Linked DNA regions of Caenorhabditis elegans. The protein of the gene in region 1 interacts with the protein of each later gene in a pairwise test. Each region holds a gene or a part of one and is shown on either strand. Other genes may lie near its edges.

Region 1 (6,090 bases):
AATTCCTTGATGCACTAATACTGGAGATGCACTTCCTTCGTCTTCCTTTTCAACCAACAGTGGCATAAACTTTTCGATACACGACATATCCACATCTCCGCGGTAATTCCTCGATATTACTACCTTTAAAAATAATTTTTAGGATGTTTTGTTTTGAGGTTCCATTCAATTTGATTGATATTTGACTGCTTTTCAGTATTTCTGTGCTTGTCTAAAAAAGTTTGCGCGTACAACGAAGCGCCGAATGTGCAGATGCACAGAATACTACGACAGTGAACTTTTTGAAAAACGAAGTGCTTCGCCGGAAATTTCCGTTCGATTTTTTCATTTTTCGTTGGTTTTCCTTCAAATTTACTGAATTTTTATTTTTTTACAACATTCATTTTGTTCTAAACAGTTATTTCTGTGCTAAATTCATATATTTAACTCGCCTGCCTATCAAAAAATCATTGTGAAACTCACATTTCCTTTGAGGTCCAAGATGAAGAGACCGGAAATCGACATGTCGATTTCTCTGGGTAATCCTGTAATTTAAAATTGTTCCAAAATGTTTTAATATATGTTTTAAAAGCGGTAAACGTGGAAATCTGAAACAATACGTCGAGAATGTGTGGAATAGTGAGCGCGTGAACTTTAAAATTACTCGAAATAGTTTTCACGGCGAAACATTTTGGAAATTTGTTTGTCTCGTTTGCTATTCGAAAAGTTGCAGAGTTGAAAACATGTAATTAAGATATATTTTCGGATTTTAAATATAAAATTCATGTCACTGTGTTATTAATAGAGTTGATCAAGTTTAAAAACAGCCTAAAAAATTAAAGTCGGGAGGAAAGTATTTTGAAATATGTTACTGAAAGGGAAGTTTCTTAATATACGTGTCATTGTATAAATTATTAGAAAAATCGTTTATTCAGACTTTTATAAAGTTTTAGATCAGATAATGACGCGTCATCTTGATGCCCCTTAAATCTAAAACATCTGGCAAAACGTGGAAGCCGTAATAGACTGTCGAGATGTGAGAGGGCTTTCTAGTGAAGCAGAGAAACGAACTGATAGTGGAGAGAAAAATTGGGAATGGATTGAAAATGGAAAAGAAAGGTGTGCGGGAAGAGATGGAGAATGGAATAGAAAGAGAGAACAAATATTGTATTGTATGCAGTCACCGAAAGAGGCGCACCGTCTATAGGTGTCCGCAAAACTATTCACTATCTGAGTCTCTTCGTTTTTCCTTATGCTTCATGATTCTCTTTAAATATCGTACTCTCTTCAATGTAGAGAATCTCTCTCTCATGATGATTTGCCATCGTGATCAGAATATTTATTGATTGAGTAATTGCATATTAGCAGAATATCTCTAAAAAAAGGAAATAGTTCATTAAAAAAATAATTTTTCGATTTTATGCACTTTCACACTTCACTAAATTCTAAGGGTAGAAGCTTTGTAATTATCCAAAAAGAAGGAATGTGATACAGCATTTTCGTAGCAACGAAGAGAAGGTCCCGGTTGCTAGGCTAGAAGCTGAGCGGATTATCCGGATTGAGAGGGAAACAAGGAATTGTGAGAACCTGTAATTATAGCACATATAATTGAGTTTTTTTCTGCTGCGAGTTCTAAAAAATTAAAATCTAAGTGAATTTATTTGATCAATTAAAACAAAAATTATCTCTTTGTGCTCTTTTTTGAATTTTCTAATCAAAATATTCAAACTGTTTAGAAAAATTACAGAATGGTGCTGAACGATTCGTTTTCGGCACTTTTCTCGTCTCCCGCTTCACTCAAAAAGGCGAATGACAGTTTCAATGAATCCTTCGGTGATAAGGTATTTAATATGCCCACATAAATAAAAAATTAACTTTATTTTCAGAATACTCTCTCTCCATCCACAATTTTCCGAAGTCTTCAAAAAGAGCATGATCAGATTTCATCAGTTTTGCGATCGCATCCACCAACAACGGCTCAATATCAAAATTCACTGAACGAGTGGGTTTTTAATTAGCCTTAATTTTATATTTATTTTGCTTTTCAGATTGGTTTCTCTCTACGAACGGGCCGAAGATCAGTCAACATTCGGATTACAGAAGCTCGTTCTCTCAGTTTTTCTGAAACTCGCCGCAAACATTCTCAGTGTGCTCGGAAAGGTTAGCACTGAAGAAAAAACTTCAAACTTCTTCAAATAAATAAATAAAAACCAGTTTTCTTTGTTTAAATCTCATAATTTCAGCCAAATCACCAACCGACACTCTACAAGTTATCCCAACTTCTCGCTTCATCGATTGTTCCCGATTTGAGTCCTGAACATGAAATCGAGGAGATACATATGCAGCAGTGGGCTGATCGAGTTGTTATTGGTGAGAATTTTAAATAAAATGTATTAAAATAAATTATTAAATAATTTCAGAGTGCTCAATTCATCTTGCCAAGTTTACAAACTACAGAATCGACCTTGCTTTTGTAATATTTTCAGATTTATTCGTCTAATTTTCAAGTGAATAAGCTGTCTTTTTTTCAGAACATTGACAGTATCGTTGATGATTTGGTGTTAGCTAGCGGTCGATTTCAGTTCGTAAAATCTTCGATTTTCGAGTAAGAATTTCAAAAGAATTCTGCAATTTTCTTGCATTCTTCAGAGCTGCCCGTGATATTGTATCAAGTGAACAAATGGACCTCAACGCGATAATCACTCCAGAATCGAAATTCAGTTTATCAAATCTTGGCGATGAGCAGACGCTGAGGCTTCTTCTGTGGCTTTATTTATTTCAGAAATCAATGTTGAAAAGTGAATTTCTTTCATCGCTTTTCTCAAATCTTCCATCAACTTTGAATGCACAGGAGTATATGAAAAGTGCAGAATGCTCAATGTTGGATGTCAAAGTGAGTGATAAAATTCAATATTTCTTCTAAAACTCAAAATAATTTTTCATTTTTTCAGCTTTACATCGTAACATTATCTACAGTTGCCTCAACTACAACAGAATCTGGAATGACAATGAAATCAGCTCCAGTTGTTGCTTCACAATTATCTCTCACGAAGCGTCAGAAAGATTGTTGGAAAGCAATTGTTGATGCTTGTGCTGGGTTTGTTCTTTTCTTTGATTTCAAATTCTCACCGGTCCGAAGGCATTCCAGAAAAACCGTCGCTGCTCTTTCACGCCTTCGCACTTCACAACTCGTCGAGGCGGTTCGTTTAATTTCAGACTCATCGGAAGATGTTCAAGTATTGTTCGAAGCGTGGAAGCACTGTCTTCAACCATCAGCTGCTCACGATGATAATGTTCATGAGGCAATTCAAGTTGTCACTGAAAAATATAGAACCAAAATCAATAGTCTTCTTTGTTATGGGTAAGATTAAAAAATGAAATTACTCTGAAATTACGTTTTAATATTTCAGCCCGTTCTACTCAACAGCTCCAGTATCTTCCATGAAGCAAAGTACAGTAACCCGTCGAGATATGAAAGCTCTCTTTCCATTGCCATTTGACTATGAATACATTAATACAACTGAATCCGAACATATAGGAACTATCATCAATAGTCTGTAAGTTGGAAATAATAAGGAAATCTAGATCGAAGAAAAATAGTTTGTTGGTTTTCTGCAATGAAATTTCTTTAAAAAATGTTTTTGGTGGCCCAAAGTTTTGAAAAAAAAAACCAAAAGTTGCGAAAATCTGAAGTTTCGCAGTTTTTAATTGAATCTAAAAATTTCCAGTATTGGATGTCTGTCGACTGAAAATATTCAAAAAAGAGTGCTAATTCAATTTTGGCGGAATTTCAGATTTTAACAAATAAAAAATCCAAAACCTCTACTCCTTCAAATGGAATATTATTATTTATTTTTCAGTGAAGGATATTCAAATGTGGAAGCATCAGAAGAAGCAGAAGAAGACGATGAAGATATTTTGTGTGCATCAAATGATTTTTCATTTCGTGATGAAGACATATTCCATAGCTTTGATACTGCTCCTGATAACTTATCATCTGCTGACAATTCAATGTTTTTTTCTCCACTAAAACATAATCGTGATTCAATGCTTCCTTCAGCAGTTTCACAGTTGATTCGTGATGAATCGATTCTAAATTCATCTCATATTTCAACAAAATCTGTGATTTTGACTCCAACACGTGCATCTTATATTCCTGGAACTGTTCAAACTTCAGAACTCTCTTTTGAACGTAAGTTGCGAACTCTTGGAATAAAATATAACTTATCCAATTTCTAGGTCATCAAAATGTCGCCATAAGTACTCCATCGAAAAAGGAATCATTCGACTCTTCTGATGAAGATGAAGAAGATGATGAAATGGAAGCAGCACTTTTAAAATCTGCACAACGTCATGAGAAGAGCATTTTGGCTCAAAAAACCCCTGAAAAACTGGCTCCAAAAGTTGCAACTCCAATGAAAGACGCTCAAACTGAGACCGATGATGCGGTTTTATCATCTGGAGAAAGCAGTGTTGTTACTGTAAAATACACTCCGAAAATGGATGTTCAGAAGAAAAAAGTAGAAATTCCCGTGATATCATCGGAATCAGAAGAAGAAGAATATGAAGAGGAAGATGAATATGAGGAATATGAAGACGATGAAGATGAGGATGAATATTATGAGGAAGAAGAGGAAAATGAAGTGGAAGATGATGATTTCTTGACTGAAACACAACTGGAAGAACTCATGGAACAAATTATTTTGCAGACTTCTGTCATGTTCAGAGATCAGCGTATGAAGAAGTTTGGGCTTGAAAAGGAAATGGTTAGTACTATTTTTCAGATCATTTCCCGCTGTTTATTCATTTTTCAAACTAAAATTTGATAATTTACAGATAAAATTCGACGGTGCAACTGACGAGGAAATCCTTCTCCAAGCTGAGCAAAAACTGGCAAAGTAAAATTTTAATTTGAATAAAGCCCACTATGTTTCAATTTTCAGAATTACTGAAACTCTGAAGACCACTTCGAATAAACTTCAGAACTTTTGTACTCCGAGTAGTGAGTTGTACAATTTCAATTTTTATCTATATATTTTTTTCAGGTTCAAGTGTGAAAACTCATCAGCCTCTTCAAGCTATGCCATCGGCTGTTTCTAAACTAGAGAAATCAGTGGACCATGATTCGAAAAAGTGCCTTGGCTGTCAGGTTACTATTCCAAAAATTAAATTAATAAATAAAATATTTTCAGAGTGATGAAGTACAAGAAGCTGCTCTTCGTCGCCTCGAGCAAATGGCCAATGATTGGGATGCTGAAGGAAATGATTATTTGTACAAGTGAAATCTCTCTTCTTGATCTATTATATTTAAATACCTCCCCGTTTATTCTTATCTAGTTTATTTCGAATATTTATTTATTTATTCGGTTTTTATTATTCCTATGCCCTGTTCTTTTCTTGTTTGAATTATCTCCACTAAATATTTACCATTCATCAGGCGTTTCTTACTATAAATTCGACAAAGATGTGCTTTGAAAAGTTTCATAATTTCTAAACAGACATAACAAATAACAAAACAACAAAGATTTCAAGAACAGAAAGTGGTAAACGATGAAAAATTAACAACGCGTGGATATTTTTTTTAAAAACTTGATATAGAAATCAACGGCGTCCACCAGACGAGAAGCGCTTCTTCTTTTTGGCATTTTTATTCGCCGGATCTTTTGCATCAGGAATTGCGGCTTGGATAGCAGTTCTGTAAAATTTTATTTCAATTTCTGAACAATACGTGTTGAAAACTGACCGTTTGCTCTTAACGCTGACCAATTTGTTTGCATATTTCATATTAACAGATTCATAAGCTTCAGCCAACTCTTTCTCGTCCTGTATAATCTCATACTTTTGCAATTCGTTTCCAAGCTCAGCGAGCAGTGCTTTTCTGTCCCTATCGTGACGAGCACGAATCTCTTTGGCAGCCGACTCGAGCTCATCTTCCAAATTGGCAAGTGGCACAGCTTTCGGGAGACTTGATGTTGGCTTGTTCGCCGCAGATGCTTCAGCTTCTTTATCGAGATTTTCTCTGAAAGAAGGCAGATATTTAGTCATTTACGAATCGTATTTTCCGGACTAGACACATTTTTGCTAAGTGCAAGCGGAACGTTCGTTCCTGAG
Region 2 (6,738 bases), on another chromosome or scaffold:
CAATTTCCGATGGGCTATAGGAGTTCGAAAATCAGAAATTCGAGCCCACGCTCCTCAATTTTAATGTCAAATAGACGAGTTGGCTCCGGAAATGTTCTAAGGTTTTTGAACCTAGTCGCTGGAAATTTTGAACAAGGTTCGGGGAAGAAAACAATAAATTTTGATAAAATGGTCCAAACTAACTGAACTAACTAAACTGAACTGTTTTTGCCAAGTTGGACAAAATTTCAAAAAACGGCAATCTCCAACTTTGTTGTTTGCAGCTCACTCTTGAGTTATAATGTTTTGCGGACAATTTGACACTTTTTTAAGAAATTGAAACAACTCCTATTTTTTTCTCAAGTTTTACAAATGTCTAATAAGGTATTAATTTAAAAAAAAAACTACTAAGGTTTGAAAATCTTAATGAAGAACTTTTTCCAGGGCTTTCCTCAGACCGTCAGATTCAAAGAATTCATAAATAATTGAGGAATTTCTTTCAATAAATAAAACGAATTGTAAATATATACAAATGACGTAAACGGTGCATATAAAATGGGAATAAAAAGATGGATGGATGTGTGTGTGTGTGTTGAGAAACGTAAATTTAATTATCACCGGACCACGCTGTAAGACGGACACCAAAAGAAAGAAATTGGGAATGGCTCTTCTCTTTTCTTCTAAATATAAATTGTAGCAGGAGTTGAAGCAAGATGTTGAAGGAAATAGAGCAAAATTAAAAAGTTCTTGTGTTTGGGTGTACCAGAGAAGATGACCAGTTCAATTGCTTGAATTAAAGTTTCAGGGTCGAAGGTTACTGAACGTCAGGCGGCTCTGCTCAAACATCAGAGTATAAACTTGTTTCTTGGAATAAATACGTGCACAAATATTTTCCAATTTTTTTCTAGGTAAATTTGTGGATCAACAATTCACAAGCAGTCCTTTCTAGACATGACCATCATTTAGAATATCCACGTTTGGGAACTTCGATAAGTGGATAGTGTTCAAAAAAGTGGAGTAATGCCTAGTCTGCGAAGTTTTGGCTTATGAAAAGATATTGGTTCAGAGTTAGTGGGGAGATACGGCTGGGGGTACTGAGTAGTACTGTAGAAGTACTGTATGGTTGCTGTAGGATTACTGTAGTTTGGGCAAAATTGAGTTTTTGTCTTTTTAAGGAATTTTGGGATTGTATGTTGGTGGGGGATAATGAAAGCGCTTAAAATTTGATACCAGTCCCCGAAGACACACAAAAAGTTTATTTTAGGTCAGATATTAATTTTTGAAATTATGAAAACTAAATAAATCTCCCAATAAAAAATGCGGTCGTTTATATGCCTCAAGGTCAGTTTTTTTTATTGAACTGGAAGCTTCTGGCTTCAGAAAAATTTTGTAATTAAATTCTGAAAGCGCTTAAAATTTGAAAGAAGTCCCCGAAGAAACATTTTTAAAAAAGTTAATTTTAAGTCAGATATTGATTTTTGAAATTATGAAAACTAAATAAATTACCCAATAAAAATGCGGTCATTTGTATACATGATGGTAAGTTTTCTTGATTGAACTGGAAGCTTCTGGCACCTAGAAAAATTTTGTAATTAATTTCTGAAAGCGCTTAAAAGTTTCCGCAAATTCTTGTTGATCTGCCAAAAAGTCAAGCTAGAGGTATCTAGATTCACTCTCGTTAATATTAAAGTATCAGTAATATTTTTGGAACAGTTGGTTTTTCGATCGAAACCAACAATAATACTGTTCCAATAATCAAAATCTTTTCATTTTTCAACACCACACTATACCCTTCCATATCTTTTTTGATTTGTATTCGACACTACATCGTACCCTACTTGTCTTATTTTCCTTATCAAATTGACCATTTTCTCTGCCATCGCCCGCACTCACGTTTTCTCAACACATTCCCGATTGGAGATCTTTTTTTTCTGAACTCAAAATTTTCAGAATGACCATCAAAGCGGTAATTTTTGACATGGGAGGAGTTATCCTCCCAGCACCAATGCACTATTGGAAATGTAAGTTTTCATGGAAAAATTATTTGAATTTTCAGATATGCCATTTTATTGCTAGGTTCTGTTAATCAAAATATTTGTTCAAGAATACAATAATTTGAAAAAAATTCTATCACTGAAATTTCAGCCATCGAAAAAACTCACAATCTTCGTGATGGTTCAGTGGTCGAAACAATCATCAGTAAAGATTTCTACCCACATTTCAAACTTTTTGAAACCGGACGGTTGACTTCGGAGGATCTCGATCCACTTTTCACTCATATTTACAATTTTCAGGTTTACAATTTTTTTTTTCTAAAACTGCATTTTTTTAAGCCTGAACCTTGATTTTCAGAATAATCGAGTTGGAGACATTTTGCCAATTTTTGTAGAGGTTAGCAGTCAAATCCAACACACTCCACTTCTCCCGGAGATGGTTGAGCTTATCAAGGTTTGATTTTCATTTTGGCATAACATGGTTCTCCAGACACATCTGTTCATTTCCAGTCTCTTCGTCTTGCCGGCTACCGTACCATCCTCATTACCAACAATTTTTATACGGATCGTGCTAGACTTTTGCCAACAGTTCCATCGCAAGTTGGACTTTTGTTTGATGATGTTCTCGAGTCTTGCCGTCTTGGTCTCCGTAAACCTGACACTAAAATTTATGAATTGGCGCTGGAAAGAAGCAAGGTAGCATTATCACATTTACAAATCTTTCAACTTTTTCGTTTAGCTTCACCCATCCGACTGTGTTTTCCTCGATGATCTGGGGTCAAATCTGAAATCCGCCAAAGAAATGGGAATCACTACAATTAAAGTTGTTAGCAGCCAGCAAGCAATTCATGATCTAGGAAATATTCTCAAGTTGAACTTCTCCTACCCACCGGAAACACGGGATTGCATTCCAAGTAATTAATTTTTATTTCTTTATATCTAACATAAATATTAGTTGCTTCTCTCTTTTTGGCTTTTTTCATAGTTTGCTCATCGTATTTAATTTTAGGAGAAGTTCTCCCAATTGAAAAGATCAATGAATTGATTACCAGAAGAACTGGGACTGATAACAAAGTTGAAACAATCCGCAAATTCCGTCATGGACAGTCAAACCCAACATATTACATCCGAACAGTAAGAGGGTCTCAGTATGTTCTTAGAAAGAAACCAAGTGGAAGTCTTCTACCAAAAGCTCATCAAGTGGATCGAGAGTTCAAAATAATGAATGCTCTTCAGGGACTTGTTCCTCTCCCGAAAACACTTTTGTACGATGAAACGTTAGTTTTGCCAACTTTAAAATTCTAAGCTACAATACATTATTTTTTTAGAACCCTTGACACTTCATTTTATCTTATGGAATATCAAAAAGGAAGAATATTCCTGAAACCATCACTTCCAGAATTGACTCCACCAGAAAGACGTCGTGTGTATGAAGAAGCACTGAAGACGTTAGCAACAATTCATTCGGTTGATTATGAAAAAGTTGGATTACAGGACTTTGGAAGAACAGGTATATTTTAACAATTACATATTATTTTTAGAAAATTCGATTTTTTTTTTCCAAAAATATCAATTAAAGAAGGAAAATTTCCGATTTTTCGTTTTTTAAGCAAAAATCTAAATTGGAAAATTTTTCGTTTTACACTTTTCAAAAAGACTTGAAAAACTGACACCTGTGCATTTTGAAAATTTGATTAAAAAAATACGTTCATTTTGATTAGCATTTCATCAAAATATTTTCAGATGGGTACATGGCCCGTAATCTGAAACGATGGTCAGACTCCTATCAAATGGCGAAAACTGAAGAAATTCAAGAAATGATAAAACTCGAAGCGTACCTAAAAGCAAATCTGCCAAAAAGTGGAAAATCGACTATAGTTCATGGGGATTTCCGTGTGGACAATTTGATTATCGAAGAGAATGAGATCAAAGTGAAAGGAGTTCTCGATTGGGAACTCTCAACAATTGGAGATCCGCTTTCAGATCTTGCAACATTTTTATTTGTATACTATGTTCCAAATAGAATGATACTTCTACCAGGGCTCGGAGATTACAGTGAATCTGATCTTCATAGAATGGGCATTCCAACCATCAAAGAGTGTTTGGAACTTTATGCAAAATACACAAACACGGAAGTTGTTGATCCAGAGCTATGGACTTACTACATGGCGTTTGTTATTTTCCGATTTGCAAGCATTATTCAAGGAGTTTATAAAAGATCTCAGTTGAAGAATGCATCTTCAACTGAAGCTTCTCAGTTGGGACCACTTGTTAGAAAGCTGGCTGCTGAAGGAATGCAAATGATTTCAAAAGTTCATGCATCAAAATCTTACGGTCAACTTACAATTATTCCATCAGGAATGTCTTTGAAAGCTCAAAAATATTACGAAATCGTTCGAGAAATTATACAAAATGATGTGATTCCGTTGGAACAAGAGCTCTTGGAGTATTATGAAGAAGGACCTCACAGATGGACAATTCCTCATCCGAAAATTGAAAAGCTGAAGGAGAAATCAAAATCATTGGGTGCATGGAACCTGTTCATTTCTGAACACATTGATCCTGAACAAAAATACGGAAAAGGCCTGACAAACGTAGAGTATGCACACATCTGTGAGCTTATGGGAAGAAGCATTTTTGCACCAGAAGTATTTAACTGTCAAGCTCCAGATACGGGAAATATGGAAGTTCTCATCAAGTATGGAAGTGAAGAACAAAAGAGCAAGTGGCTCACTCCATTATTGAACGGAGAGATTAAGAGTTGCTTTGCGATGACTGAGCCTGATGTCGCGAGTAGTGATGCCACAAATATCCAGGTAAGGCTTTGGAGCTTTTCAAGCAGGGTCGCGATCGGAAATTTCCGGCAATCGGCAACTTCGGCAATTCCCGGTTCTGGAAATTTTCGGCAATCGGCAATTTCGGCAATATTGCCGGTTTTAGAAATTTTCGGCAATCAGCAATTCTAGCAATTGCCGAAATTGCCAAAAATTCGATTGCCGAACGGCAATTACCGCGCACTCCGGTTTTCAAGTCAGCTTTCTGGCAAAAGGTGCCACCAGTAAGTTGCTAAGATTTTGCCAAGAGTTACCAAGATGTACAATCAGATGTACTTTTTTTGAAGTATGTAAAAGTAGCTACCAAATGTTAAATTATCAGCGTGGATTTCTTGCAAAAAAACTTGGCAACTTGATAAAGAAGGTTTAAAGATGCCTACATGTTGTTGCCACCGTAAAAATTCTAAATTATGCCAGCAAACTTCCAAAATATTTTATTTATTTTTACAGGGTTCCATCGTCCGTGTCGGCAATGAGTACATCATAAATGCCAGAAAATGGTTCATCTCGAATGCTTCACATCCAAAATGTCGAATCGCCATTTTTATGGGACAAGTTTCTGGGGCAAAGCGTTCAAGAAATTTGCAACAATCAATGATTTTAGTGCCAATGCAGACGGAGGGTGTTAAAATTATCAGAAACACTCATGTTTTTGGATCACAGGATGCTCCAGGAGGACATCCAGAGATCACATTCACAAATGTTCGTGTACCAGTTGGGAATATGCTTTTGGGAGAGGGAAAAGGTTTTGAAATCGCGCAGGGAAGACTTGGGCCAGGAAGAATTCATCATGCAATGAGACTTATTGGGCATGCGGAACGGGCAATTGATGTTATAAAAGATAGGTTATTGACAAGAATTGCATTTGGAAGGAAGCTGGTCCAATTTGACAGTTTACGAAAAGAATTGGCTCTTTCAAGATGTGAAGTTGAGCAAGCCAGATTATTAGTATTGAAAGCCGCCCATATGATTGATACAGTTGGACCAAAGGTTTGAACTGAAATATTTATTTTTTTCATTTAAATGTTTTCATTTTAGGAAGCAAAATCTGAAATCGCCATGATCAAAGTTGTTGCTCCAAACATGGCAATAAGCATCCTGGACAGAGCCATGCAGCAGCAAGGAGCTCGAGGACTTACTCCATTTACACCATTGGCTTCCTTTTATGTATGGGCAAGATCTCTTCGAATTGCTGATGGACCAGATGCTGTACACTTGGAGACTATTGCAAAGATTGAGATGAAATCGAGATTGTAAACCTTTGTTTGAATTTGTATTGAAATTGTTTTATAAAGTGTCGTTGTAGTTTTAACTTGTGAATAAATCAAACAAATTTCAATTTTGAAAACTTATTATTGACAAAAATAATTTACAAAGTTTCAATGTCTTATTCTTTCCCAGAAAAGAAAATATTTAGTTTCTTTAAAACAGCCCAATTTTCCTATTATTTTGCATGAAATTTTGCCGCCTTTTCAATTTTCATGTAACAGCTCAAAAAGTCTACATTGTTCAACAAAATACAAGCATGCTAGCCGGCAAATCAGAAAATTTGACCTTTCAAAATTGCCGAAATTGTCGAATTGATACACAGTTTTTATTTCCTAATCGTATATTGTATTTCAAGTGTAAATTTTTAAAATATCATTCTCAAAGTCTCAATATTTATCTTAAAATTTATTCATATTTACAATTCAATGCAATTCAACAATTGAAACTGTCATGTGGAAAATACAATTACTCGTAATAAATATTATAAACGAATGCAATTAATAATAAATTTGATTCGACTCCGGAACAAGAGCTCCAAGGCATGGTGCAACATAATCAGGAACCATATCATCTCTTTCGTTCATTTGATTTTCAATGATATCTTCAATTTGATGACATCCAGATAAAACTAACAAAGTCTTCATTCCGTGATCTCTTCCGAA

The links.
Region 2: the proteins of F55A12.5 (region 1) and acds-10 interact in a two-hybrid assay, tested with the Caenorhabditis elegans proteins (one large-scale study listed by BioGRID).

Annotation. Positions count from the first base shown.
Region 1 is NC_003279.8:5,344,201-5,350,290, forward strand, and holds F55A12.5 (Telomere_reg-2 domain-containing protein), read left to right. Parts: upstream 1-1,726; 5' UTR 1,727-1,727; coding exon 1,728-1,820; intron 1,821-1,865; coding exon 1,866-1,981; intron 1,982-2,027; coding exon 2,028-2,139; intron 2,140-2,222; coding exon 2,223-2,349; intron 2,350-2,399; coding exon 2,400-2,452; intron 2,453-2,510; coding exon 2,511-2,584; intron 2,585-2,628; coding exon 2,629-2,872; intron 2,873-2,930; coding exon 2,931-3,076; intron 3,077-3,118; coding exon 3,119-3,340; intron 3,341-3,389; coding exon 3,390-3,536; intron 3,537-3,839; coding exon 3,840-4,171; intron 4,172-4,218; coding exon 4,219-4,745; intron 4,746-4,815; coding exon 4,816-4,877; intron 4,878-4,922; coding exon 4,923-4,981; intron 4,982-5,024; coding exon 5,025-5,128; intron 5,129-5,171; coding exon 5,172-5,261; 3' UTR 5,262-5,457; downstream 5,458-6,090. Other genes in the region: apm-1 (MHD domain-containing protein), read right to left, coding at 1-123, 463-504; nath-10 (RNA cytidine acetyltransferase), read right to left, coding at 5,581-5,674, 5,723-5,998.
Region 2 is NC_003283.11:5,745,890-5,752,627, forward strand, and holds acds-10 (Acyl-CoA dehydrogenase family member 11), read left to right. Parts: upstream 1-1,929; 5' UTR 1,930-1,930; coding exon 1,931-2,000; intron 2,001-2,124; coding exon 2,125-2,273; intron 2,274-2,331; coding exon 2,332-2,427; intron 2,428-2,483; coding exon 2,484-2,669; intron 2,670-2,712; coding exon 2,713-2,887; intron 2,888-2,982; coding exon 2,983-3,250; intron 3,251-3,301; coding exon 3,302-3,483; intron 3,484-3,716; coding exon 3,717-4,789; intron 4,790-5,257; coding exon 5,258-5,797; intron 5,798-5,845; coding exon 5,846-6,064; 3' UTR 6,065-6,144; downstream 6,145-6,738. Other genes in the region: pgph-1 (Phosphoglycolate phosphatase), read right to left, coding at 6,574-6,738.